2 linked regions of the Yarrowia lipolytica genome follow. The protein of the gene in region 1 interacts with the protein of each later gene in a pairwise test. Links are inferred from orthologs where the notes say so. Each region holds a gene or a part of one and is shown in the gene's direction. Other genes may lie near its edges. The genes, in order: YALI1_B18902g and YALI1_F31432g.

Evidence for each region.
Region 2: the proteins of YALI1_B18902g (region 1) and YALI1_F31432g interact in binary tests that used the Saccharomyces cerevisiae proteins (3 or more experiments, as listed by UniProt). The link is inferred for Yarrowia lipolytica from reciprocal best matches to the Saccharomyces cerevisiae genes SDS22 and YPI1.

The regions. Positions count from the first base shown.
Region 1 is NC_090771.1:1,888,473-1,892,266, reverse strand, and holds YALI1_B18902g (uncharacterized protein), read left to right. Parts: upstream 1-2,054; coding exon 2,055-3,113; downstream 3,114-3,794. Other genes in the region: YALI1_B18921g (uncharacterized protein), read right to left, coding at 49-101; YALI1_B18887g (uncharacterized protein), read left to right, coding at 3,489-3,794. UniProt on the Saccharomyces cerevisiae protein: Regulator of the mitotic function of yeast type 1 protein phosphatase.
Region 2 is NC_090775.1:3,141,679-3,144,462, forward strand, and holds YALI1_F31432g (uncharacterized protein), read left to right. Parts: upstream 1-1,579; coding exon 1,580-1,960; downstream 1,961-2,784. Other genes in the region: YALI1_F31416g (uncharacterized protein), read left to right, coding at 1-662; YALI1_F31439g (uncharacterized protein), read left to right, coding at 2,287-2,310, 2,467-2,754.

The DNA.
Region 1 (3,794 bases):
CACCCCTCAATACATTATCTGCGTGGGCGCACATTGCGGCAATTGAACCAGGCGTCGTCTAAGTTACTCCAGAGTCTCCACAAATGAGCTGATCTGCACATGACCAGGGTATGTGCAATAGTATCCTGTGGAGGCTCAGCGGGCCAACCAATTATGACGCATCTATTGCTATCAGTAGAGTAGGACCTGCACCTTTGGGTGGGGCAGTGAAACGTGCTGGGGTAAGGATTTAAATCCCGCGTTGCACTTTTCTGCTACTGTGGGGCCATCACCTGATGTCGCTGCCCCTCTATATCGTGCAATCCATAGCTTGCTCATTCCACATTCCACACTCCACATCTTTTTTTTTGTTGGACCCACGACCAACGACATTCCTAGGCCCCTGGCTATTCCCTGTTTTTTAGCCAAACCAAAGAGGACGCGTGCCGAGCATGAAATGTGAGGAGATTGCATTCAGGGGTGCAAGCAAGTAGCAACGCAACTTCACAAAGCACACAGCCGGCTCACAAGGAACAAAGACACATAGCCCTATCTCCAGAGCGGAATGGCGAAGTTTTGCTGATTACGAACTGGGATACGCCGTTTCAGTCGAAATGATTTGCGTCTTTACCGTAGCACAGCTTGGAGGAATACAGTCTTTATGAGGCCTGCTGTTCCACTTATCAGTGACACGTCCGCAGTTGGACCTTCTTTGTTAGTGGCCTGCTAAACTAGGCGGTTGCCCCAGCGACCAGAAATGCGCCGTTCAGCTGCACTTCGTAGACGCCTGTTGTACAGTTTTAGGAGAGCTTCCACACACTGGCCCTGATGGTGTGCAATAATTAGTTCACCAGATAACGTCACGTGTCTCGAAGTACTTGACCCGTCAACTACGATAGTGAACCGTACAATGGAAGCACAATAGCTCGCGTGGAACAAGCTCTCTCTTGTGGCTGGCGTCCTAGAGCCTCATTCTCTTGTTTCGGAACAACCTTGCAACCATACAGTATACAGTTTACTTGGCCTCAACAGAGCCATAGTTGTAGACTCATTTTCAGGCCACTGCGGCAAATACAATCGCCAATCGATGCTCACTTGGGCGGGGTACCAACACCTCAACTAATGCACACCAGGAGTTATCTCCTTCTGATTGCCAGGATGCGGCTGATTAAGCGTCGATCACTGAGGGTGTGGTGTAGCTACTTGTACTGGTACTGTTGAACGTGTGATTATCGTATTATAGATACTGTTTTTAGTTTAGACTGTCGCCATGAGCTGTGTGTATGACTGACTACTCTAAACACTCCTAACCTCGGCATTTCATGTTCCATAAAATGTGTGCAAACGTACAAGTACGAGTACATGTGCACTTGTACAATACGTACACCTGCTGGGGAGAAGGTAAAAAAACAGGCCATATGGCCGAGTGGAGCTCCAGCAGTACATACAGTAGCACGATAGGCCAGTCTGTATGATGTTACATACGGCTTCGTACTCAAAAAGAAGGCTGTGGAAGCCTCTGTAGCCTCTCCAACCTACTCTGCTCACTCTGATGGATCCCTGGCACACGTGAGCTATAATTAATTAATCCGAAACCCCTGCTGGTTCAGGCTTAATCTGCCAAACTCTCCAGTCTCATTCGACGGACATTATCGTCCACATCCAAAGCAAACACTTTTGGTTGGCTTTTTTTTAGATTCGCCAGTTTCCAATAATAGATTCGGGGACAATAGCCGCACGAGTCCAGAGAGGTGTAGCTGTATGCCTTGTAACGTATCGTCTCGACGACTGTGCTTGCGGTATAATAACAGCTTGTACCAGTAAATTCAGATATCACCTTTTGCAATCTTCCCATTGCACCCCAAGGCCATTCACCGAAGTATTACTAATCATAACATCTTAACCTGTGATGTTGAGCAAGGTTCGGATCTTGCAGGCCGCCTGAGATGGGGGGCGAATTAATTTCCTGAACTGCACCTGCACAGCTACGAATCCACTGATCTTACGTACGGCGGCTTTGAGATATAGCTTTTCACACGCAAACAAGAAAATCTGCTAAGCATCCTCACCCCAACATGACCGCAGAGGACACCAAACCTGAAGCCAAGGCTCAGCCCACCCAAGAGCCTGCTGCTGAGACAGAATCGGCTGTCACAGTGGTTCCTCCATCTTTCGAGTCCGACGTTTCCGAAGATGAAGAGGAGGAAGCTTTCGAGGCAATTGAGGCCGACGAAGACCTTCTGGCCGATGCTGACCTCGACATTCTCGACATTGACCTCACTCATCTCAAGATCCGTGACTTTGCCAAGCTTGGTCTGGGTCGATTCAAGCAGCTTGAGACCCTCTGTCTGCGACAGAACATTTCTCCTAGCACGGATGGCCTGGAGGAGGTATCTGATACCCTGGTTGATCTCGACGTGTACGATAACCGAATTGGCAAGATCGAGAATGTGAACCATCTGGTGAACCTCACCAATCTGGATTTCTCCTTCAACAAGATCCGTCACATCAAGAACGTCAGCAAACTCACAAAGGTCATCAACTTCTATCTTTGCCAGAACAAGATCCAGGAAATTCGAGGTCTGGACAACATGCCTGATCTTGTTAACCTTGAGCTTGGAGCCAACCGAATCCGAGTCATTGAGAACTTGGACCATCTCAAGAACCTGCGTCAGCTGTGGCTCGGAAAGAACAAGATCCGAAAGCTGTCTGGTCTGTCGGGACTGGAGAGTCTAGAAACCCTGTCTATTCAATCCAACAGAATCACCAAAATCGAGGGTCTGGAGAAACTGAAGAACCTGGAAGAGCTGTACATTAGTCACAACGGAATCACGAAGATCGAGGGCCTGGAACACAACACCAAGCTGCGAACCCTGGACATTACTGGAAACCCCATCACCACCCTGGAGGGTGTTTCGCACCTCAAGGATCTGGAGGAGTTCTGGGCCTCGGATTGCAAGCTCTCCAACTACAAGGAGATTGAGACTGAGCTTGGACAGCTGCCAAACCTCGAAACAGTCTACTTTGAGCGAAACCCTCTGCACCGAGAAAACCCTGCCACCTACAGAAACAAGGTGCGACTTTGTTTGGGCCCTTCCCTTCGACAGATTGACGCTACTTTCATCAAGTCTTAGCAGCATATTATTACGATAGCTGACTACGTTCTGTAGGCCGTGAGACAGCGTTTCTGAAATCGTTCTCTTACTGTCATATATAATAGAATGAATGCATATATTTATAGGCATCCGTGAGATTTAGCGTAGTGACTATTTGGTGTAATGCTAACATCTGGAATCTCTCCTCTTACAATGGCTATTAGTACGTAAATGGTTACTGTTATACTGTACTGTACGTTCTGTAGCTTCCATAATGTGCTTTTTTGTTGACTTATTTAACGTGTGTGTGACACACTAATTGTGGTGGTCACACAAACACAGAAAGACGCTTCCCACATTTAAAAACAGAACAGCCCACCTTAACTTATTCTCCTACACACCAGAAATAAAAACATGAGATACACAAATACCCAAGCGCTGGTGGGTGTCTGTCTACTCCTGCTGCTGGCTTGCGTGGCCAAAGCACAGAGAGAACCCCCTCACCCTCACCCCCGATACCCAATGGCTCCACCCCCGCCTCCTCACTACCCTTACTACTACCCCAACCGTCATGGAGCGTACAGACGTACTCGTCAAGCAGCAGGCAGATCCCCCGTGGGTCTCCGAAATGACCGACGTCCCAAAGCGCGACTCGATAACCACAAGAAGAAGACCGCCCAGCACCACGACGGAGAGAAGAAGGCCAAGCCCAAGTCCGAT
Region 2 (2,784 bases), on another chromosome or scaffold:
CAAAAATCACAGCCTTTCCTTGGCCCAAGTCTCTGCTCGACAATGACCCCTCCAAGTCGTACAAGGTCCACACTGAGACGATACTCAAGGACCAGATTTACGTGATCCATGGGTTTCTACCCGCCAAAGTCTGCAATGATCTGGTTCAAACCATTGTTAAGACGGACGCCGACGACACACACACTTTTAAGATGGAGACGACACCGCTGACGAAACGAAAAGATTATGCTGCTCGGGTCAACGATCGAGGGGCAGTGGAAGATACAGGGATCTGCAACTACCTCTGGCACCAGCTGGAGCCCATTATCGAGTCTGATCCGGAGCTGTCAGAGTTCAAATCGGCCTTTGGACTCAACCCCAACATTCGAATGTACAGATACACCCCTGGGCAGTTCTTTGATCAGCATTACGACGAGGCGGTAAGATGCAAGGTGGGATCGACTGTCTGTACTACACGATGGACGTTGCTACTGTACTTGTCAGAATGCCAGGGAGGTCAGACTATGTTCTACGAGGATGGAGGGAAGTCGTACGAGGTCCAGCCCACTAATGGCAGTGTACTGCTGCATAAGCATGGAGAGGACTGCCTGTTGCATGAAGGACGAGAGGTGACGGCGGGTGAGAAGTGGATTCTCAGATCGGACATTGCTTGGAAGAATTAGCGAGCAATATCGAAGCAATTTGACTGACGATGGTGAGCCATGGCAAAAGAGACTCTGACAGATAGTAATCAGGATAACTGAGACTACAGAGACACAGGGCTTGGAGTGTTCTGGCGGCAGTGGAAGTGCCTGTGGTAGAGTCAGAAAATCTACGACCACTCCGGCACTTATATAGCATCTTGAGCACAAGCTGGGGGGTACAGTCCTTAGATGATAAGTGATACACTCCGGATCACCTCCTCCCCTATAGGACTGATAGACGACGTATTGTATGGACGTGGGAAAAGTTACGGTCTTCACTTGTTGAAGTATGTAGTGCACGACAGCAGTGAACACAGGACTGACAGGACTGCCTCTTGGTTTCTTTACTAAAGTGGATTTCATACTTAACCTTTTGTCAAGTATAATAGTCAACGTTGTTAGCTTCGTGGACATGAGCCGAATGAATAACTACTGCGGTCAGCAGTTTCGGTTCTTCCCCTTTGCCATTCTTGTAAGTATGTACCACATCTTCTCATTATCTCAAAACTTCCATGTCACAGTACATACTGTACTCTTTAACAAGTACAGTACAGAAGCTAAAATACCCTTTTAGATTACTCAGAGCAATGCCATAAATATCCTTCCAATAGCGGCTATGGTCCACGATTACTCGATTTGAAAAAATGAATCTGCTAAACAGCTCAGCACATCCAAGGTGTGCTCTTCATATTTCTCTCACCTGGTCACATGATCGCCCCACCGCCTTACTCTCGTCCATACAGTCTATCTTGCTCCCAACTCTATTGCTCCAAAACGGGGGTGCGCATGTCATCATGCATGAAGAGTACTTCTTCCTGCCGCTGAGATAATGGTGTCATATAACCACCTACTCATTTGCCACACACCACACAAAACACAGACCCACCTCACGCACAATGTCACACAACCAGCAGGCCGCACAGCCATCGTCGTCACGCACACAGGTGATTGAACGGGAGGCGTCTCCAGGTGTTCTGACCGTACGAGGAGCCGCCGAAGACGAAGACTCCAACGTTCGATTTACAGAGGAAGTCGTGGACAACGAACACATGGACAAGAAGAAGTCGAAAATCTGTTGCATCTACCACCCGCCGGCCGAGTTTGGCGAGTCGTCCGAGGAAGAATCGTGTGGCTCTGACGATTCTGGACCCGAATCCGATGAGGGAGATATTCCTAATGCCCGAAAACCCAAGAAGAAGAACAAGGGCAAGTGCGGAGGACACAGAGACCCTTCTCCCAATGCGTACGAGCGAAAGCCACGACCCAAGAAGAACTAATCGTTACAACAATATGCATTTTTACACCAACAAACACGATAACCGCGCTACTTTTGTACAGACATATGTACCTACAACACTGTAAGATAGGAATTGTTTTTTTGATGATTTAAGAAAGAAGGAACCAAGTAATTGTGGTAGCTCTGTATCTTTTAAGTAGACTGTACGTTCTACTCATACTGCTCTGTACATTTCTTGTACTGTACTGTAGAGATCTCTTGGGTACAGTACAAGCTTACTAACACAAGTCGGGATGTGAAATAAGGTTTTTGATCTCTCCATGCCTTTACCTGGAAATCAAACTAGACCAACAACATCATCGCAGAATGTCGAGACTGACCAACACAGAGGTGAGTACGATTTTAGAGGACGATTAAGGGATTGCTCTTGATTGCTCTTGAACCAGGAGGGCTTTGGGCTGATCCAATCGGCTAGAACTTGTGACACAAACCCATGAATGAAACGATCAGAGGCCATCAATATCTCACTACCCACAGCTAACACAGTTCATCTCGTCGCTCAAGGACGCTTTCGACGGCATTTCCAAGAAGGAGAAGAAGCACTCCCTTTATTTCACACAAAAAAGACTCAGTCCCGCCAACGTGGAGCCCGAAGAGCCTTCAAAGGAGTACCCTCTACTGATCCGAGTGGCTTACACCACTGGAGGAAAGAAGACCAAGCTGACCACCGAGGTGGACCCTTCTAATCTCGACGAGTTCTGGAAACAGTACACGGACGTAATGAAAGCCGGCATGGCTCTCAAGAAGAAGGACAAGAAGCGAAAGCGAAAGTAGTCGTGAGACAGAACGATTGCGGAAGAGACG